Pelodiscus sinensis: one gene and its partners. The protein of the gene in region 1 purifies or fractionates together with the protein of each later gene. This does not show direct contact. Links are inferred from orthologs where the notes say so. Each region holds a gene or a part of one and is shown in the gene's direction. Other genes may lie near its edges.

Region 1 (7,031 bases):
AAGAGGCTAGTTATGCAACATGCAACACACCCACTGTATCCATGAATCTCTATTTTTGTAGGCACTCACCAGTTATTTCCAGAAAAAGCATAATATCGGGTATTACATGCACAGTAGCACCATTCATATTTGGTGCCACTCATTTGGATTTGGTTCTTCAAAACTGACCCTTGAAAATCAAAATTTTCTAAAAACTCTTCGGGTATGTCTACACTACCATCCTAGTTCGAACTAGGGTGGTAATGTAGGCAACCGGAGTTGCAAATGAATCCCGGGATTTGAATTTCCCGGGCTTCATTTGCATCTTGCTGGGCGCCGCCATTTTTAAATGTCCGCTAGGGCGGACTCCGTGCCGCGCAGCTACACACGGCACGGACTAGGTAGTTCGGACTAGGCTTCCTATTCTGAACCACCGTTACTCGTGAAACTAGGAAGCCTAGTCTGAACTACCTAGTCCGTGCTGCGTGTAGCCGCGTGGCACGTAGTCCACACTAGTGGACATTTAAAAATGGCGGCGCCCAGCAATATGCAAATGAAGCCCGGGAAATTCAAATCCCGGGCTTCATTTGCAACTCCGGTTGCCTACATTACCATTCTAGTTCGAACTAGGGTGGTAGTGTAGACATGCCCTTCTACATGGTCAGTTATCTATATATTTTAGAAATGTGCATCCGTGTGTGTCTGTCCATTTATGTGTCTGTTCGTTCAAGAACTGCTCCTAAACTGTAGGAACTAGGATCACCAAATTTGGTATGCAGCTTCCACCTATCCTAATTTAAAGAAAAGTTAGGATTTGGTTGTATCCAGAAAGTGTCAGGAATAGGACTCTTTTCCATGACATGGAAAGGGAGGGGCACAGAGAAGAGAATACTGAAAGTGGCCATCAGGGGCAGTAAGCATGGGGGAGAACTATACTGCACAGTGGACACTTGCACAGCTGTACCACCAAGAAAGTAGCCATCAGACAGGAGCTCTGCCATCTTGCCTGCCACCAGATTGGGTAAGTAGCCCCCCTCATCCCAAACCATTTCCTCCTCCTGGCTCTTGGCCAAAGTCCATGCTGGTCAGAGGGGTTGGGAGGAGATAGAAGGCCCCGGGTGGCTGGCAGAGGTGGAAGACAGAAGGCTCTGGTGACTGTGGCAGCTGGAAGAAAAAAACATCCCTGGTGGCCAGGGGGAGAGCAAAGGTCTGTCCCAGATGGGTCCTCAGGCTTTGAGACCCGCCTTACCTCCAAGCCCTCACTCTTGCACTTCCCTCATCACCAACCTCCTGTGCTCCCTCCTGATGCACTAGGCCCTGCTCTGAGTCCTGCATCCCCCACATGACCAGGTCCCTGCCCTGAAGGACCCAGGCAATTCTGGGTAAGTCTGCTATAAATTCTCATTAATATATGGGGATTAGTGCATGCAGTGGGTTTGTCACATACTATATGTTACTCTAACTGTTCAGACCATCATATATATTTTGATATTTTTTAAATATTTTTCTATTTTTCAACAAATTCTACTCAAGTAATGAAAAGTGCATAAATATAAACGGAGAGAGAGAAGGAGTTTGGCACCAGTTCACAGATATGTTTTGTATATGAATGAACTGTTCTTGAACTACATCAGTTTCTCAGGTTTTCCCAGCAGTCATGAGTATGGTATCCAAATTTTCCTGTCCTTTGAACGGCACCTAGTTTCAAACTAGTTTTTTATTTCTTTCCCCCCCTTAAGTGCCACAACATAGTTCTGCTCTGTTACAATTGTACCTTTCCACTGATTTCTCTCAAAAACGAATGAGAGTAGCATTTAGCTTCTAGTGTTTAGTGACTGCATCAGTCATTCAAGCTTCAAGGGCCTGAAATCGATTATTCTTTTTTCTGTAGCGTGATCTTCAAAACTGGTGAAGAGGGCATAGTTGCATCACTGAAAAAGCATTTGGAACTAGCAGTTTTTGGGGCAACAGAAGCTGCATCTCCAATAAAAGCTTGAATAGACTGGGGGGAGGCTTAATCCTATAATATGAAACAACTATTAACTGATGGAGGTGTTGTCTTTCTTCTTTAACAGTCTAACCCTTTCACATGCCACCAAGATTTATTCATTGCTTGGATTTAGTCATGAGACTGGGAGCCACTGTTCTTCATTGGATTCCAGTCATGAGTGAAAGGAGCAAAATATAAATAAAAAATAACTCATTTCTTGAATGACTTTATGGTTCAGAGTGGTCTCTACTCAATTTATATAATTAAAAAATTGGGTAGAAATTCTAAAGTCTGGGATGTAAATCTCCTTCTATAATCTTCCTTGGATTTAGATTACTAGCAATCCTTGTACTGGAGGGAATTCAGATGTAACCTATTACCTGGGGGTTAGGTCCATCAGACAGATGATCAGGTACATAAAGCCTGTATCAGTAAGTGAGCAGGAGTGAGACTGCAAGAATTAAGGTTATTCTTGCATTTCCCAACTTTTGAATGCTTGATTTTATCCCTTTGACCCTTTTCCTACCCACTGATTTGTACAGGATGACTTCTAAATGTATGCAGAGCTCCAGAGGTTTCAATGGGGTTCTGTACAGGTGCAGGGCTCTTAGCAGGATCAAGTTCTTAACATTCTTCTTTTAAGATAGTGGACTTTAAAGATAATAGTATAAAAATAAATATTTGTTACAGTATAATAAAAAGATGACTACTGATCATGGTTATAAGATGATGCCATACCAACATATCAAAATGAGAAGTGTAGGTGGAGTTAGAGACAGATGTTTGAGTTACATGTTTTTAACAAAAACAAAAAACTGTAGAAGGCTTTTAAACAAAGAAAACAAAGGTTCTGAGAATGCTGCTGAGACAGTCTCCTGACATAATTAGAACACAACTTTGTCTTGTAATACAGACAGGACTTAGTCATGAAGCATGATACTGCTGTGTAAAACATAAGACTGTAGGAGGCTTCCAAAAAACAATGAAAACATGATGTGCAATTTATGGTTTGGGCTGAACTACACTATAGCTATTGTGAGGAACTTTACTCAGTGAGAACTAACACTGTCAGCCCAGTAAACAGAATAAAAAAGGGTTTTTTTTAATCTTTTATAACAAATAACACTCTGTTCAAAACTCCTCTTTTCTATTCTCCATTTCTACCCCCACCTCTTTTTTGTTGTTGACCATAAAGTCCTATGAATGAGTGTTTAATTTATTGTGGGTGCCTGGCCAAGCAAATTGAGATTATAAACTCATTTTTAGCCATGTTCCAAAGTGCAGAAATGTATTTAGTCTTGAAAAAAATATATTATTTTGTGTGTGTGTGTGTGTGTGTGTGTGTAAACATCCACGTGTGTGTGTGCGTGCATGTGTGTTAACTATCTTTACAAAAATTCTATGATATACTTTGTTTTACAGAGGCTGTAAACACTTTTTGCTCTAATACCTCTATCACAGAATTTGGGGAATAGGAGTCTTCTACTCAGTAGAAATCGTTTTCTGAGGAACATCGGCTGTGGGTTGTGGGGGCAGTTGAGTTCTCAACCTGTTTTTCATAGGTCTATATACTCTGTTATTTTTTTCAACTCCCGCCTCCTACCCTCCAGCTGTCCTTAATTTGTAGGAATAATAAAATTATATATAATATTCTACATGCTGACAAAACTCCCTTCTTCTATCTCCATCCTTCCCAAATTTTTCTGACATGAAACCCACTGAAAGAGGGGTTTCACTTTAAAAAAATAAAAACAGACAAGCACTTTCATTACACCAGCTATACTATATCACTCAGACACACATCATGTCAACATGAGTAATCAGAGTGTTTGAGCAACGTCACAAGCAACCTTTCACACAGTTATTGTTACAACAAAATTGCACAAGACAGATCATGGTAAACACACTGTGTTTTAGATCTGACGTATAGTTGCTCTGTAGTTGCCAGAAACATTGCAAACATTAACACTTACTTCAGGAAAGCCAAGACGTTCACATGGCATTCTAAATACAGAGCTTCACCAGACAGGGTTTTATTTATGGAAAAAAGAAAACATTTATTTTCTGGATGAAAATATGGCTTTAGAAAACACTTCAAAGGCAAAGAAGACTAAATAACGAGTATTTGTACAGCAAAACTTAATTAGCTGGCAAAACCAGTAAGTATCTGACCTTGTCAGGCCCCTGTTATTGCTCTGATCTATTTAGTGCAAAATAGTTTGATATATTTAGAAACGTCTATTTCCCACGTGTACAGAGCCGGGCAAGGAAGTTAAAGAAAACACATTTTATATGTTTCTAGGTCAATTTAAAATTTAAATAGGGGAGTTGTTTTTGCTAAAAGAGCTAATGACTAAATTTGTCTTAATGCTGTGTGTCAGGGTGATGTTAACAAAAAGTAGATAAATTATCCTTGTGGCTCTCTCTCTCTTTACTTTCAATTTTGGCAAGGTAACTTCCTATGATCAAGGAATTTTGTCTTCAGTCTAAAATGTTACTAATCTGAAACTTTGTACAGAAAATGGCCTTGATAATAAAAGGCAAAAATAAATTTGTTAAATTGTTTTTTCAGTTGTACAAGGAAAATATGTGTTTCTATGACCTCCCATTGTTTGACCCCACTTCTTGCTAGACGTTTATTTTCAGATAGAATATTTTGTACTTATGGAACACTGTCTGAGTAACAAATAATGTTTCACAAACATTTAGCCTGGTAACAGCCTTCTGAGGTGGTTATTACTACTCCATTATTATTTCATAGGTGAGGAAACTGAGGTACACAAGGGTTTAGTCACTTGACAAGGTCAAAAGGAAGTATGCATCAGCACTGGGATTAGAATTTAGGTATAGTTCCCAGTCCATTTTCCAACTAGAGCTGGGTAAACAATTTGTATTGAACCTTTATTCAGATAATATACACTTTATTTTCTGGTCATGAACATAAAGGAACATTTATAAACTTGCTCATATTTCATAACTGTTTGACTATTTTTTGCAAGCAAATTTCAGCCTGTGGATTCAAACATTTACAAACTGTTCACTATGATTGTTCCTACAAGCCTTTTGATATTCAAGCTATGTGACTTGTTACCCAGTGACGTATTATTTCTGATCTGTGTCTGGATAAACAAATCTTTATAATTCTGCCTTAAATTAGTTTAATGATTAAATAAAGGGCTTGAAATTTACTGAGTAAATATTCATATGAACAGAGTTTTACGCCCAGGAAACTTCACTTAAATAAATAAGTATGCAAAAATGATTGAAGCAAATAAAATGTTTTTACAATCACCTTGAACTAGTTTTGCACTCTAGCCAATTTTATCTCATTTTCTATATTAAAAAGCAATCAGTTTTGAAGATGGAGCACATTTAACTTTTTGTGATATCTGGAGACAGCTTGAAACAATAGCTGAGACTGCTGTCAGCTGTCGCATTTCATTTCAATTGGGTGTTTACTCTGAAGACTAATGAAAATATTTTAATTGTCAGTTGCTGACCAAGGCACACAAATAAAAGTGTGACAGACTTATCATGATACTTTAAAAGAGAGATAAGCTATGCGTAGAGCCCTGAGTGGATACAAGATTTGCATCCACATCCACAAAAATGAGCTATGGATATCCCCACTGATGTCCTAAAATGTACATATCTGCGGATATAAAGTGAATATCGCAAATTTTCAGGGTTCTAGCCACAAAATGTTATCTATCTGCATCCATATCCACAAAAATGAGTTGAGAATATAGAGCAGATATCTGCAGATTTGCAGGGCTCTAACTATGGGAGTCTCAACTGGATTAAGTTTGTGTAAGAACCACTCCTTAGTTTTTTTTTATTGTATTCTAAGGAATAAGAGTCACATGTTTAGAAATACAAAACATAAAAACTGAATATTCTCTGACGTATTAAAGACTTGAGAATGAAAAGTTTGGTTGGTGTCTGAAGTAGTACTAAGTCTCTTGGCACTATACTTTAATACATTAAAATAAATACAAGCAAATCAAATTATGAGATATCAGATGAGTTAATGAACATAATCAGGAGTACATGGATTTGGTTTTAGTATTTTAGGAATGCAGGGTTAGAGCCACAAAATGGATTGAGGCTCACATTTGCAATGGCAAGCTTCGTGCCCTGCTGTGCAATGGAAGCCTCATGTTGATTTGGGCAGCCAAACTCCTGATACAAAGCATGGAGAGAGTTAGGCACCTAAGAGCGGGACTCACACAAGTCAGCAAATGGATTGGGGAGGGGATTAACCTAGCCAATAGGAAATGAAGAGGAGAGTGGCGGAGTCTAAGCCTGATCCATCAAAGGGACTTAGGTTCCTAACTCTGGGCCAGAGGGATTTGTTGTTCAAAAACAGAGATAAAATCCAGTTTTTCATTTTACTTTCAAGCAAGACTGTCTGGGAATAAGAATAATTCTAGAGATGGTGTTTCTTAATGAGTGACACAGAGACATCAGCATGTGACAAGTTCTGTGTGACACAGCATGACTCCCATTGGCTTTATGCCCTCTGTATACACCCCATTCTTCTGATTACAGGAAATGTCTATAATATAGACAACAGTGATACTCAAACCTGCTATAATCTTTTCTTACAATATTTATATTATTGAGCCTCATGTGACTGATTTCCTTACCAGACCTTCATGTGATCCCACAAAGAAGAAAACTATTGTGAAGGCTAATTGTGCATGAATATAGAGATTTTTAGTCTTTAACTCTAAATGTGTAGTATTTTGCTTTATGTTTAGAATTAAAAGAAATAATTGAATAACTATTTAGTGTGCACTGAAGAATTTATACAGGAATATTATTTTCCTATGATAATTTTCAGCCTTAGAGTGGAAAGTTTTGGGGCAGCACTGTGTCTTTCTACCTTAAATGCTACTGTATGCTATATAAAGAGTAGTTCTTCAGAGTAGTGTTGTGAAGAATATTAGTTCATGATTGCACAACACTTTGAAACAAGGGCTATAGAAGTACTAAACATTATGTTCTTAAATTAGGATACCATGATTTACCCTATATCTAGGATAGAGTACTTAAAAAC
Region 2 (7,746 bases), on another chromosome or scaffold:
ATGTGCATCTACAGTGTGGAAAGGGAGATAATTAAAGTGAACATACTAAGCCATTTAAAGAACAAGTGATACTAGAACTGCTTAACTGTAATAATTTATGTTGAAATTGTGCAACCTTAGAGAATACTCTGACATTAGGCTTGCAGAATCATCTTTATGAATGGTCTGGAATCACAAACCACCTAAATGCAAGAAAAATCAGAGAGAGAAACCAGAGTATAAAGATATCATGCCTTGTCAATACAGGGTAAGGATAATTGCTGCTAATACTTCCTGAAAGCTTCCCACTAAGATCTTGTTTTCAGTTGCTTACAACTTGCCAAACTTTAACTATACCGACTAAAGCCATGGTGTCCAACACTCTAGTCACTAGCCACATGTGGCTATTTGGCCGGTTGAGTGTAGCTAGTTCGCTATAGCTATAGCCACTATAGCGGCTACTGTTTCAGAACTGATTGGACACTAAGGGACTAAAATTTTCCATCCTAGGTATCTGCCTCAGATTTTTTTTTTAAATAAAGTTTTAATTAGAACCATTTAGCCATTTCCAAGAATGAAACTATGAGATAAATGTTATTTTGTCCACGTTTAAAATAATACTACAAATGTTTTGTCTAGAAGCTCTATTACCTCTATGCTTTCAGGCAAGGATTTGACATTTGGGTGGATAAGGTATTTCCTTGGTGTCAGGGATGTGACATTTGCCACCCTCATGAAAATTTACCCAAGTCTGATCAAGTTATGAACCTCAAAACTGTTGCACAAGCTCAGTAGACATTTGTTTGAGTATGGCACAAACTCCAAAGCTTGTCTCTCTCACTGACATAAGTTGGTCCAATAAAAGATGTTCTCACCCACCTTTTCTTTTTAAAAAAGATGTTAGTTATCATAAAACCCACAAATGGTACTATGCACATTTATTCATTAGGAACTGGACTGAGACCAGTGTTCCCTATGTGTTTGTGTGACTGCTCAGGAGAAATTCAAATGTTACCTAGCTGGTTAGCAAGAGTGCTCACAGCTGGCTTTTGTTTCTACTGGTTGTGTACATGCCTCGATGCACATACAATTATTCTGTACCAGGCTGGAAAAAAAAAAATCACATGTGGATGGGAAAAAAATTAAAGGGCATGTTGATTGAGACCACCAAAAACTTTCAGAGGGCAGTGTATAGTATTTAGATACCACTGTTAGTCACTACAACTTTGAATTTAACCCAGACACAAGCAAACGTTAAGTACAATGAACAATAAAAGATATCTTAAAGGCTTGAGGCTTTTGGCTCAGAGAAGGAGGATGTATCTTTTCTTTCCTCTAACACTGTAAAGCAAGGATGAAGAGGATTTTAATGGAAGGGGAGGAATGGGCTTGAATTCTCTTCTCATCAGCAACACTATCTGAAGGTGTCTGATAAAAAGATCATCATAGAAACAGTTAATAATAGTGCCTGACAGCATTAGGGTGTCTCACCACTTAGATGAAGAGACAGCAAGGAGCCCAGTGGCAATTTAAAGTCTAACAGATTTATTTGGCCACAAAAGCTTATGCATGAAGAAATGTGTTCACTGGTCCCCAATGCGGTGCCCGCAGGCGCCATGGCGCCCACCAGGGCATTTATGTGCGCCTGTCGAGTGACCAGGGCCTGCCCAAGCCATTCTTGCACCTCCAGGTGCGCGGCGCATGGGCGGCCCCCACCCCGGGCGCGCGGCAGTCCCAAAAGATTGGGGACCACTGTGTTAATCTTTAAGACGCCATAGAACGTATCACTGTTTTTGCAGTCACATACGAATGCAGCTTCCCCTCCATGTTGAAAGTAATAGAGAGGTAGTTGTGTTAGCCTGATCTTTCCTTTAGCTTCCCGCTGATACGTAAATGAATGTGCTAGTTCATATCTGTATACTGCTGTTTTAGGTGGCCCATTTGCAGAAGCAGGAAGTTAGCACTTCATTAATTCAGATTATTTTTCATTCAGGTGGTATTCTTTATAATCATAAAATCTAAAAATTACCTACTGTAGGCTTTTTTAATGTCCAAATAACACTTTTCTGTCTACAGAGACCAAGTCTTAATATAGCCAGGGTCAAAATTTAGAATGTGAGCATGATTTGAAGCCTCCAATTAATGAATAGAATAGTTTTATACCCTCTCCCCTTAGTGACAAAGGATTCTGTCTAGTGAGATTTTGCAATATCATGACAAACTAATTTAAATCCTAATCCCATTAGGTACTTGGAGCGGAGAGGACTCAGTAGAAGGTGCCTCTCCGAATTGGCTCCTTAAACCGTCTCATCTTTGTGCAGCCTGGTATTTTAGGTCTAAATATGTGATAGATCTCTAAATACACAAAAAGTCACCATACATTCACAATGTATTTTATCAAACCCTAATTTTTTTAAGACTGCCATATTTAATTTTCTCTCTAAATAATCAAGCAAGGAAGTTTGTGTTATGCAAATGGTATGTCTGTGATTGCATTTGAATTATAGGACAATAGACATTGTGGATGTAAGCGACTAGTTGACTACCTGATAAGCATATGGTCACTTCCCCGCACCCTTGCTGCTTCTATTAGAGAGGCATCAGGGGTGGGGAAGGTGAAAGAAGAAGGGGAGGAAGAGCACAGGAGGCAGAGGCAGAGGCAGAGCTGATTCCCAGCTTGCTCCTAGTCCCCCTTGCTGCACCTCTGCTTTTTAAATGTATTAAGAGCCCAGCAGCTTTTAATACATTTAAAAGGCAAAGCCGCAGTACGGCTCTGCAGTTTTTCTCCTTATTGACTAGTCAATGGAATTTCCACTGACTACTTGACTAGCTGATTACCCACAAGTTAACATTACCCTAATAGACATTAATAATTATGAAAGAATGTTGCTTTAACTAGTCCTTTTTTTGGTATTTGTAAGATTTTTCATTTGAGTATCCTGAACTAAGGATGTAAAACCCCATTTATGTTTAACCAGTTAACCAATTAAATGAGCATGGGTGGGGCTGCTCCAGATGGGCTGGGGCAACCCCCACCAGTTAACTGTAATCATTTAACCTTTAACATCCCTATCCTAAACTCTAACAATGTTTTTGTTATTAAAAAGAAACTTATTAATAGCAACAATTGTTCAGAGAGATACCAGCAATATTTTATCCACCGTTGGCCCCACTACAGAGCTCAGTGTTTTACATGCTTTCCCCCACAGTCCGGCCTCCTGCACAACTTCATTTCATTATGCCCCAGGCAGAGTCCTGTACCTATAATAACCCACATAAACCCCCTTACATAGCTTAATCCCACTCTTCAACATATTCCATGTTCCACATTACACTAGATTTACCCAGCCTTTTTCAGGTCCTTAAAAGCCAGTTTCCTCCCCCAGCACTGTCTCCACAGTAAGTGGGAGGGGGCGGGAAGAGGCAAAAGTCAGGGACCTGGAGTGAGCCGGAACTGCTGAGTCCTGGCTTGCACCAGGTTCTGCACCTACCCCGTTGTGGTTCTGCCTTTTAAATGTAGTAAGAACAGACTACATTAGCCACTGCTTTAGAACTGGTTTGACACCACGGGAGAGAGATCAGCAATTCTACCGTTCCCTTCCTTCAAGGCAGGCTGTGGGGGATCGCGTAACACAAACTAGGATAAACTGTTCCCTTAGCTCTTTCTTGGCGAGGCTCCTCCCTCCCAGTTTCCCCATAGAAGTTATGGGCTGCCTCTCCAGTCCGTTGCATTACAAGGTTAGAGGGCTTCTCCTTCCACTTTCCCAGGACAGGGTATAAATGCTGGAATTAAGGGTAATGCTATATCTCCTTGAAGTAGCTTTCGTTTTATACGGAATTTAGTTTGTTTCAATAGCTTTCAGCAGCCCCACTATAAAGATTGTTCCTGTGTCGCTGGTGCTCCGGCTAATAGTCACTCCCAGCCCAGTTAAAGGGAGAGCTGGAAGGGCTTCCCCCTCTTATCAATTTACCTGTCCAATGAAGCTGGTCCGTCTAAGGGGTCTAAATCCGGTTGGGAGAGCGGAGGGCGTGGAGAACCCTCTCCAGAGCAGGATCCTGTCGCTGGTGCTCCGGCTAGTAGTCACTCCCAGCCGTAGGCAGCTCCCAGCCCCTCACGGATTTGACAAACTTCCTCCTCCCCAGTTCAGGCTGACCAAGAACTCCTGACGCGGGGGGGAGGGAATGAGGGAACTCAACGAGACCACTTACTAGTCTCACTCCTCTCCGCGCTGCTAGCCACTCCCGCAGAGAAGCTGCGCTGTCTCTATAGCGACTTCCCGCGACATTCCTGCGCGTATCCCCGCGCGAGACTTCCGTACTTCCCCCCTCCACCTAACGGACCCTCCCAAACCAGGTGACAAGTCGCTGACGTCACCGCACCCGTCTGTTAATATCTTTTAAAAATATTAAATGTTCTTTGTTAGTTTTTTTAAATCTTGTTAAATTTCGTCCGCTATCGCCTCAGGCAGTTACTAAGCAACCGAGCTCCTCCCGTTAATCCATCGTCTGATTTAAATTTGTAGGATTTTTCCCCGTTTAGGCACCTTTCAATAACGGTCTTTTAGTTTGCTTTAAATTAAAAAAAATACCAAAACAATGTAAATGGTTTTATTCTATTAGTACCCTGCTCCGCGCAATAACGGAAAACAATATGGCGCCGGAGGACTTTTTTCCTCCTTTCAAACCTGTGGGAGGCCGAGGGCCGTCCCCCTCTGTACCCAGCATGCTTCGCGCGTTTCTAACGAATTTCGGTTCGAGTTTAGCGTTTGGGCGCCATTTTCGAGTGTAGAAGCCGCCAAGCTGCAGCAGGCAAGAGCCGCACTCTCCAGAGCCAGCGTCATCCGAAATCTTGGCGGGGTAGCTGGCCGCCTGCTCCGCGTCCCAGGTACTAGCTCTGCCCGCTGACAGGACTGCGAGGCTTGGGGCGGCTCGACCAGCAGCGCTTCCAGCAAAGTACCTAATAATTTGGGGACAGGTGGAGCTGGGGGGCTCGCTTCCCTGTAACTGGAGCTGGGGAACCTCCCTATGGAGCCTGCCAGGGGGAAAGCTGTAGATTTCCTACGTAAGCTGCCTTGGCGGGAGCAGGGGCGGTGGTCTTAATTTCCCCCTCCGTTTCTTTTCCATTCCCCCCCACCCCTTCGGGAGAGCGAAAGACGGCGGCTCCTTTTCCCACTTCTGTAACCTGCAGCCCCGCGGGGTGGGGCGACTGTCGTACCACCCCATTGTAATTTGCCCTGCCCGAGGACTCCTCACCGTATAGAAGAGATGTGATTCTGGCCCCCGGGCGGCGACCTCTCCACCAGGATTATATCTAGCAAATCATGGGGGGGGTTCACTGCAATCTATGGAACAGAGTGGATTCCCCGTTGTATCCTTATGTACCTATGGGGACCTATTCATCAGATACCAGTCACTGGAAGGGGCACAGTAACAAGTTTGTGATATAGTTTCTTGAGAACTTCAGAGGCCTGGTTTTTAAACTGTCTTTAGACTAAGGACTTGTTTATAATTTTATTTTCAACTATACTCTGGGGAAACTCCTATAGATTCAGAACAAGGGGCTGTGGGGAGCTTAGGATGACTGGTTGATTTCAAAACAATTCTCAGGGAGATGTACAGCACAGTCTCTTCTCGCTGACATCAGTTATTGCCCTGAAATTGAATCTCTTCCAAATGGGGAGTCGTCTTTAAAATTCCCTGTCGAAGTGAGACTTACACTTAATTGCAGGTCATTAAGTGTTGCTTTTAAGAAACACATTTTTTATTTTTTTTAAATGTCAGGGCTTTGGGTTTGAGCATAAATACTTATTAGATTATCAGGGAGTAACTAGTTAGTTATTCATGTTTGGCAAGATGATCCAGATTAAGATGCTGGGGAACTCAGATTTAAAAGATTATTACAGTTATGTTGTAAATTACTCTCAATCTATTTTCAATATTTTTGTATGTTTATGCTATTCAATTTCAATAAGTGTAAAAACATCTGTAGAATTTATTATAAAAAATGGAGGTAGCATATACTCAAATTGCCTTAAAATGAATTCATCTTCTATCTTTACACTTCTTCATGGGATCCCCTTTCTCCATCCCAAATGAAAGACTCGGGGTGGGGGATGGACTGAAAATGTCAAATGATTGTCACCCATTATAAGATGACTTTCCAACCATGTCATAAACTTTCTTGCCTGCTTTTTTCCAAGCTAAATCCACCACTTGCTGTGATAGAGTAATTTAGACTTTGGGGGAGAATATTTTACTACTTCAGGTTTCTTGGTTTTCATCTTTCTCCTGAACTACCTTTTATTCTTGGGGGCGGGGGGTGGCACCTGCCAATATGTTCTGTGATGGACTTTTTTACTGTTGTTTTTCTTGATCAAGCATTAACATCAAATCTGTTTGATATTTAATTTGCTTTTCATTTGGTGTGCTGCTTTTAAGTGTGAGCATTTAGCTGCATTTCTAGCAGACAAACATTTCAGTATGTCCTTTGGACTAGAGACTGTCTATACATTGGAAATAGTATTTCAATATTATTAGATAGGGTTACTGAAAATTCTTGGTAGAAAATCTTTAGGAGGGATGTGTATACTATAAAATATGTACTTCAAGTATATATATCTGCGTGGCCTGTTCATTCAGTGTTTATTTCTGAAATAACACCTGTCATAATTTTTCTTTATTTGAATTTATATGTTATGTTTTCATGTTGCCACATCAGAATGTGGATATCAGTAGATGGATGTCCTTACTTAAATAAGTCAGGGCGATAAAGCTAACTTTTAAAGGAACTTTAAAATAATGGTAACTAAGCTGTTTTTTAGTTTTTGTTTGAAATCCTGAGTATTTTTGAAATTCATTTGGATTTTAGCTTCTTAGTAGTCATTTGGAGACACATGCACAGTCATAGCCCTTAACGGGTGATACGCCCAGCACTTGGGTCATGGGGTTTTTCTTGTTTGTGTTAGCAAAGGAGACATATCCCTTGGGTAGTTTGATTGCTTGGAATCGGAGGGGAACGGCCAGCAGAAAGCATGCCAAGCAAGAGCACCAAAACCTCCACTGCAGCCCGTCAAAAAGGGAAAGAACCCTTGGAGGAACCCACCAGTGATATGGAAGTGGGAAAAGAAGCTGACACAAGCCTCAGTGAAGCATCTCAGCAAGGTAAGTGTTGATATGATTCTGATGTACCCTGCATATAAATCTAGTGATGATGTGTCTTGATAGGAGCTTGCTGAACTTAGGGCTGCTGCAGTTCAGATTCAGCTTCTTTCTAGGAAGGGATATTGTAATTTTATTTTGACAAATTTAATTTAAATTTGATTTTAAAACTGCAAATATGGTTTTGAAAGAGTTAAGGAGTTTGCATTGGTGCTTTAGTTTAGGTAAAAATGCTGTTGTAGCGATGTTTCTTCCAACTAAGCCTAGATTTCATATTCTTACTACATTGTCTTACAATTGTGATAGCAGGATTATTTTAGCTACATGAAATCCCATATTGTGGGATTTATCTGGGGTTAGAGTATGTGGCAACTACTTTACATTCTTCAAATAATGACTTTTAAGCAATTATACCCTACATAAAATTTGTTAGTTGATTTTCTGCTGGAAATAAAAAAAACCTTTCAGGTAGCCATGTATGTGATGTTATTTTAGTAACATGTTTGATAAATGGTTAATATGTGGAAAGTGATGTCAATAGTTGTCTACTTAAAGAAAAAGTTGCTTTTAACAGTTGAAAAATGGTTTTACTTAAAACTATAATTGAAA
Region 3 (7,438 bases), on another chromosome or scaffold:
GTGGCTGCCACACGGCTCTGGTGCAGAACGGCGCTGCCCCCCAGCAAAGAGAAACGTTTCCCTGCCGAGGGGGCAGTGCTTTCCCAGCGGGCCTTCGCAATGACCTCCTCAGGCTGAGTCCCCCCCAAGGGACTTTCGGTCTCCACCCACCCAGCCATCTCCAACCTCTCCCCCCAGTTAAGAGCCAGCTTCTCCAGGGGCCTGACTCGTGTCCTGAGTGCATGGAGGAGTCCACATTTGAGCCTCTTCCGTTCCTTACAGCCAGAGGGCAGGGGCTGGGAGTCGTGACGGCTGACCTGACGCCGTGTCCAGACCCTCTCTCCCTTCCTAAGGTAGCCTCCGAATTCCACATCCGTCTGGTCCCCCAGTGGAGACTGTCCCCGGCCTCACTTCTCAAGAGAAGAAACAAGCCTTCGGACGCGGAGAGCAAGGAGACAGAGTAGCCCCAGAGGGCCTAGTCCTGAGGTGAGGCGACTTCCACGCAGACACCCACCTGGGCTTCAGGGTGCACCTGCAGCAGGCGAAGGGCTTTGCTCCCCTTTGAGAGTCATGGTTCACTCCGACAGGGCTCGCTTCCCCTGTGTCCGCTCGGACAGCCCCTGGCATTCTGCTCTTGCAGCTTTCGGTGCCCGTGTCTTATGACCTGGACTGAATCCACCTCCTCAGCACCACCCTCCGTGCTGCTCAGGGATCTGCCCAGAGACTCTACTGGGAGGAGAGGTTGCTAACCTTGTATCCGGGTGGGCAAGTTCTCGGTCCCGGCCACATCCAGCCCACCACGCCACTGCATCCGGCCCATGGACACCTGCCAGGACCCCCAGGCCTGCAGCAGCTGCTGATTTAAGTGCAGGGCTGCTCCATGTGATCCCCCCCCCACACACACACCACCCCTATCCTCCGCTCCTGGTGGCTGGAAACAACCAGCCACTAGGAGCTGAGAGATTTGTTTGGGGGACAGGAGCAGCGCAAGCTGAGCGCCACATGGAGGGAACAGCCTGTATTTTCAAGAGGTCTGGGACTGCAGCCAGCAGGGAGCCCAGCCTGCCTCAGGGGTGCTGCAGGGCTGCTGGCTGGAAGATGCTTAGGTGCCTGTCTCCCAGCCAGAGCCTGCCTCTGGCACCCTGCCCCTCCTGCATCCCAACTTCCTCCCCCAGGTCACCGTCCAAACCCTCTGCATCCCCCTGCCCCAGGTCACAACTCCCTCCCAGACCCTGTACCCCCTCCTACACCCTCCCTGACCCTACACCCAAACCCCTGCCCCGAGTCTCCACCCCCTCTTCAGCCAAACTCCACCTCAGACCCCACACCATCTCCTGCACCCCAGTCCCTTACCCCGTGCGCCCTTCTGTACCCATCCTGTATCCTAGACCCCGCATCCTCTCAGAAAAGTGCGGCCCTTGACCACTTTCCAAAATGTTGGAATGGCCCCCTCCAAAAATGATTGCCCACAGTAAGAGCAGCGCTTTCAGATGGCTCCCTGGGGTGCTCCACCACCCTCTCCGGGAGAACTCTCCCATTGCAAAGGAGCTGCAGCAGTGACCGACTCGCCCCCATGCAGGGTAGAAGCAAGGGCCCATGGACACAGCTGACCGAACCTCTCTGGCCCAGATTGCAGGGCGTGGGTGCTCGTGCGCCAGCTGTCGCCCAAGGTGACTGGCGTCTGCTTGGGAGAGGGAGGAGCTCTGCTTTCCAGAGAGGCCAGGTTCATGCAGGGCTGCAGAGCATCTTGTCTGCATGGCGCCAGCTCCATGTGTGGGAGCTGGTCCCCACCTGCCGGAGTCCGCATGGAATTTCCGCATCCGAGCTATTTGGCGGGACTGCTCCCCGCCAGGCATGCTGGGGGGTAGAGCCTCTGGCTGCTTGAGAGTGGGGAGGGGAGATCCAGGGGTGTGCAGGAGAGTGCCCTGCCGATGCTGGCCAGCCCGGAGGCCCTGCGCAGACTGCCCCCTGCTGGCGCATGCAGCTTGCCGAGCCGGGGGTGTGCATGGACTGGCTTTTCCTTGCCGAGCCGGGGGTGTGCATGGACTGGCTTTTCCTTGCCGAGCCGGGGGTGTGCATGGACTGGCTTTTCCTTGCCGAGCCGGGGGTGTGCATGGACTGGCTTTTCCTTGCCGAGCCGGGGGTGTGCATGGACTGGCTTTTCCTTGCCGAGCCGGGGGTGTGCATGGACTGGCTTTTCCTTGCCGAGCCGGGGGTGTGCATGGACTGGCTTTTCCTTGCCGAGCCGGGGGTGTGCATGGACTGGCTTTTCCTTGCCGAGCCGGGGGTGTGCATGGACTGGCTTTTCCTTGCCGAGCCGGGGGTGTGCATGGACTGGCTTTTCATTGCCGAGCCGGGGGTGTGCATGGACTGGCTTTTCATTGCCGAGCCGGGGGAGTGCATGGACTGGCTTTTCCTTGCCGAGCCGGGGGTGTGCATGGACTGGCTTTTCATTGCCGAGCCGGGGGTGTGCATGGACTGGCTTTTCATTGCCGAGCCGGGGGTGTGCATGGACTGGCTTTTCCTTGCCGAGCCGGGGGTGTGCATGGACTGGCTTTTCCTTGCCGAGCCGGGGGTGTGCATGGACTGGCTTTTCCTTGCCGAGCCGGGGGTGTGCATGGACTGGCTTTTCATTGCCGAGCCGGGGGTGTGCATGGACTGGCTTTTCCTTGCCGAGCCGGGGGAGTGCATGGACTGGCTTTTCCTTGCCGAGCCGGGGGTGTGCATGGACTGGCTTTTCCTTGCCGAGCCGGGGGTGTGCATGGACTGGCTTTTCCTTGCCGAGCCGGGGGCGTGCATGGACTGGCTTTTCCTTGCCGAGCCGGGGGTGTGCATGGACTGGCTTTTCCTTGCCGAGCCGGGGGCGTGCATGGACTGGCTTTTCCTTGCCGAGCCGGGGGTGTGCATGGACTGGCTTTTCATTGCCGAGCCGGGGGTGTGCATGGACTGGCTTTTCATTGCCGAGCCGGGGGTGTGCATGGACTGGCTTTTCCTTGCCGAGCCGGGGGCAGAAGGGGCTGCTCACGGTGCGAAGAAAGCGCCCGTGTGTGGCGATATTGGCGGAGGGGAGCTTGCAGAAATAATCTGGTTTCCCGCAAGGGGCCCTTGCCACCAGCAAGGGATGAGGAAATGGCTGTTGCTGTGCAGATGTGACTAGAATTAGCCTTGGTCTCCTAGCAACAAAGACTATAAGAAGAGGCAGGATCACTTCGAGGGAAGAGGGGGTTGGACAAACCAGGCGGCTCTGACAGAGCCCCTGCTGGAGACCTCGCTGGTCTCCTTCCTGTGTCTGCTAGAGCTCACCCAAGGACCCAAGCCTTGGCCTCCGACAGCCCGGCCGTTGTGGTGGTCTGTGTGGAGGGTCTAGGGCATGTTTGTAGCTAAACACGGGAGAGGTGCGTCTCAAAAGCCAAGGGAATTAAAAACCCCAGTAATTCAGTATTCACTTTGGGTTGCGAAGAGGGACCTACCGATCTTAAAACCACTTCAGTTAGAACATTGTACGCGGAGCCAAGAAGAAAAGACATTCGCAGCTAAAACCAGAGGATTGCAGTCCAAAGTGTCCAAATCTTGGCTAAAAACTTACTTTTTAACTCAATGAGATATTGCCATAGATGGAACAGAGCTTCCTATGGACTCCGGAGATGGATAACGTCTGTATTGCCTTCAGTTTCTTCTCTCTCAATTTCTTGAGCCAGCTGCGTGAGTTCTCTCTAAAGAATCAGAGATAAAAAAGAAGCTAGAAACGTTTGCAGCAGGGTGTGTCCCGTTAGCGTGGTCAAAGCAAGTGGTAGAATGAGCTGCGGAAGGTGAAAACACCTGCCTCTCAAAGAGGGTCCAAGCTGTCCTCCAGTGAGTCGTGGGGAGAACCAGCCGGAGATGATGCATCCAGATGGGAGTTGTCCTCCAAGGGCTCCAGCGCTTGCTCATGTGCATTCCCCAGTGGGGTGCGTGCTGCCCTGTGCAGACTGTCCCCTGGCGGCCCATGGAGTGGCACCTCTGTGGTGTGATAGCCGGGCTGCCGCGTGCTCCCCCTCCTCACTGGGGATGAGCCCGTGATGGGGCACGCGACTGCTTTGCTCCACTACCCACTGTAGCCGCCTTCATTTTGACTCTTCCTTGTTTTGTGTAGCTGGATCCCTGCTCTTGTAGGACACGGCTAGGCAACGGGGGGGGGGGTTCTGGCCCCCTTTGGGACTTTGCCTGGGTCGGGGCATGCCCCAGTCTCGGCATTCAAATCTTGTGACCCCCGCAGATACCTGTGCCAGTCAGTGCCCTACACGGGAGTTGTTCGTGCTGCCTGGGCAGAGCTCTCATCAGCAACAGCTTCAGGAGTGGAACATTTGGCTCCGTGCCCTCCTGCTGGAGCCAGCCCTGACTCCGGCGCCGGTGCACTCACCCGACATGGCGCCAAGCACCGACGCCTCAGACCACTGTGCTCCTTTGGAGCTGTCTGCCTACACCCGAAGAGGATGGTGCGGGTCCCTTTGCTGCAGCCCCCTAAGCAACAGGATTAAGTCTGTGGGCGAGCCCCACGTGGACCCACATCAGGCAGCTCTCGGCCCCCTCTGGTTCACAGGTCCAGCTCGTAGAGTGGAGCAGCCGGACAGGAGCGGGACCCTTAGCCACGCCAGAGGGTCTGCTAGTGGCACAAGACACATTGGCTGCCGGTGCCAGCCCCCCTTGAATCCCTGTCCCAGTGGCAATGGACTCAGTCAAGGGAGGAGTGGGCACCCCGCTCTGGCACGCAGCCGCCAGGAGTCAGATCGGGGTAAGCGAGCCCCGCTACCCCCCTCCGCTGGGCAGAGTCCCACGGCACGCGCCACTCACCCTGACCAGGATCTCCTAAGTCCACGGGCCCATCTGAGCAACCGTCCGTACGGGCGCACACGGGCACCGCGCCTGCTCGCACAGTGCGTGGCGTGGATCACCGGCCACAGCGGTTCCAGGAGGAGCCTGGTCCCCGGTGTCAGCCTCCAGGACACGAGCCTAGAGCTGACCCTGACGTGCCTACACAGACCTCGATGCTGTAACTGCTGCTCATACACCGGCGTTGCAGCCGCCTAGGGCGCTCAGACTGCGCCAGACTAGCCCTTTCCAGTGGGGCCTACCATGGCTGGCGGGCACCGTGTTCACCGCCCCTCCCGCGTTGCCTGCTTGGCGGCTGGGGCCTGGAGAGACCTTCTGCTTCTCTCCGCCCCGCAAGGGTCCCTCGGCGGAGCAGACGCCTCCGGCCCCGCAAAGCAAGGAGCGAGCCCCGGGACCAATGGAGGCACTGGGCCTCCTCGGCGTCGTTCCCAGGCGAAGCCATTGCAGCAGCCCTGCAGGAGGTCAGCAGGGGGCCAGTGACAGGCAGTGGAGAGCTCTGCCCCACGGCACCGGCTGGCTGTGGTCCCTGAAGCACAGTGGCAACCCCCCCGTGCCGGCCAAGGGCCGGAAGTGCCACCTTCCTGCCAGCTCCTCCGTGGTGGAAGCAGAAACCACCGGGAACCAACCTGCAGTGACCCTTAAAATCGAGACTCTAGGACACCAGACTTGCAGACGAAAACTTGATTCCTGCCCCGTTCCAGCTGAGTGGCAAACCCCAGAACCCTGCTGAGGCAGCCCGATGCGCCCGTGTTGCAGACTGTGCCTATATCCAAGCGACCGCTAGGAGGGAGGAGAACACGGCCCGCCCGGAGGAGACCTGGTGGCAAACCCCAGAACCCTGCTGAGGCAGCCCGATGCGCCGGTGTTGCAGACTGTGCCTATATCCAAGCGACCGCCAGGAGAGAGGAGAACACGGCCCGCCCGGAGGAGACCTGGTGGCAAACCCCAGAACCCTGCTGAGGCAGCCCGATGCGCCCGTGTTGCAGACTGTGCCTATATCCAAGCGACCGCCAGGAGGGAGGAGAACACGGCCCGCCCGGAGGAGACCTGGTGGCAAACCCCAGAACCCTGCTGAGGCAGCCCGATGCGCCCGTGTTGCAGACTGTGCCTATATCCAAGCGACCGCCAGGAGGGAGGAGAACACGGCCCGCCCGGAGGAGACCTGGTGGCAAACCCCAGAACCCTGCTGAGGCAGCCCGATGCGCCCGTGTTGCAGACTGTGCCTATATCCAAGCGACCGCCAGGAGGGAGGAGAACACGGCCCGCCCCGAGGAGACCTGGTGGCAAACCCCAGAACCCTGCTGAGGCAGCCCGATGCGCCCGTGTTGCAGACTGTGCCTATATCCAAGCGACCGCCAGGAGAGAGGAGAACACGGCCCGCCCGGAGGAGACCTGGTGGCAAACCCCAGAACCCTGCTGAGGCAGCCCGATGCGCCCGTGTTGCAGACTGTGCCTATATCCAAGCGACCGCCAGGAGAGAGGAGAACACGGCCCGCCCGGAGGAGACCTGGTGGCAAACCCCAGAACCCTGCTGAGGCAGCCCGATGCGCCCGTGTTGCAGACTGTGCCTATATCCAAGCGACCGCCAGGAGAGAGGAGAACACGGCCCGCCCGGAGGAGACCTGGTGGCAAACCCCAGAACCCTGCTGAGGCAGCCCGATGCGCCCGTGTTGCAGACTGTGCCTATATCCAAGCGACCGCCAGGAGGGAGGAGAACACGGCCCGCCCCGAGGAGACCTGGTGGCAAACCCCAGAACCCTGCTGAGGCAGCCCGATGCGCCCGTGTTGCAGACTGTGCCTATATCCAAGCGACCGCCAGGAGGGAGGAGAACACAGCCCGCCCGGAGGAGACCTGGTGGCAAACCCCAGAACCCTGCTGAGGCAGCCCGATGCGCCCGTGTTGCAGACTGTGCCTATATCCAAGCGACCGCCAGGAGGGAGGAGAACACGGCCCGCCCGGAGGAGACCTGGTGGCAAACCCCAGAACCCTGCTGAGGCAGCCCGATGCGCCCGTGTTGCAGACTGTGCCTATATCCAAGCGACCGCCAGGAGGGAGGACACGGCCCGCCCCGAGGAGACCTGGTGGCAAACCCCAGAACCCTGCTGAGGCAGCCCGATGCGCCCGTGTTGCAGACTGTGCCTATATCCAAGCGACCGCCAGGAGGGAGGAGAACACGGCCCGCCCGGAGGAGACCTGGTGGCAAACCCCAGAACCCTGCTGAGGCAGCCCGATGCGCCCGTGTTGCAGACTGTGCCTATATCCAAGCGACCGCCAGGAGGGAGGAGAACACGGCCCGCCCCGAGGAGACCTGGTGGCAAACCCCAGAACCCTGCTGAGGCAGCCCGATGCGCCCGTGTTGCAGACTGTGCCTATATCCAAGCGACCGCCAGGAGGGAGGAGAACACGGCCCGCCCCGAGGAGACCTGGTGGCAAACCCCAGAACCCTGCTGAGGCAGCCCGATGCGCCCGTGTTGCAGACTGTGCCTATATCCAAGCAACCGCCAGGAGGGAGGAGAACACGGCCCGCCCGGAGGAGACCTGGTGGCAAACCCCAGAACCCTGCTGAGGCAGCCCGATGCGCCGGTGTTG

Evidence for each region.
Region 2: the proteins of HECTD1 (region 1) and SMC4 purify together in Homo sapiens (affinity purification with western blotting; 3 studies listed by BioGRID, with this or other methods). This does not show direct contact. The link is inferred for Pelodiscus sinensis from reciprocal best matches to the Homo sapiens genes HECTD1 and SMC4.
Region 3: the proteins of HECTD1 (region 1) and ras GTPase-activating-like protein IQGAP1 purify together in Homo sapiens (affinity purification with mass spectrometry; 3 studies listed by BioGRID, with this or other methods). This does not show direct contact. The link is inferred for Pelodiscus sinensis from reciprocal best matches to the Homo sapiens genes HECTD1 and IQGAP1.

What each region holds. Positions count from the first base shown.
Region 1 is NC_134714.1:51,020,469-51,027,499, forward strand, and holds the start of HECTD1 (E3 ubiquitin-protein ligase HECTD1), read left to right. Parts: upstream 1-3,940; 5' UTR 3,941-4,128; intron 4,129-7,031. UniProt on the Homo sapiens protein: E3 ubiquitin-protein ligase which accepts ubiquitin from an E2 ubiquitin-conjugating enzyme in the form of a thioester and then directly transfers the ubiquitin to targeted substrates.
Region 2 is NC_134720.1:32,814,924-32,822,669, forward strand, and holds the start of SMC4 (structural maintenance of chromosomes protein 4), read left to right. Parts: upstream 1-4,714; 5' UTR 4,715-4,864; intron 4,865-4,926; exon of another isoform or gene 4,927-5,347; intron 5,348-6,909; exon of another isoform or gene 6,910-6,944; 5' UTR 6,945-7,010; coding exon 7,011-7,140; intron 7,141-7,746. UniProt on the Homo sapiens protein: Central component of the condensin complex, a complex required for conversion of interphase chromatin into mitotic-like condense chromosomes.
Region 3 is NW_027465934.1:150,196-157,633, forward strand, and holds the start of ras GTPase-activating-like protein IQGAP1, read left to right. Parts: upstream 1-4,406; 5' UTR 4,407-4,411; intron 4,412-7,438. UniProt on the Homo sapiens protein: Plays a crucial role in regulating the dynamics and assembly of the actin cytoskeleton.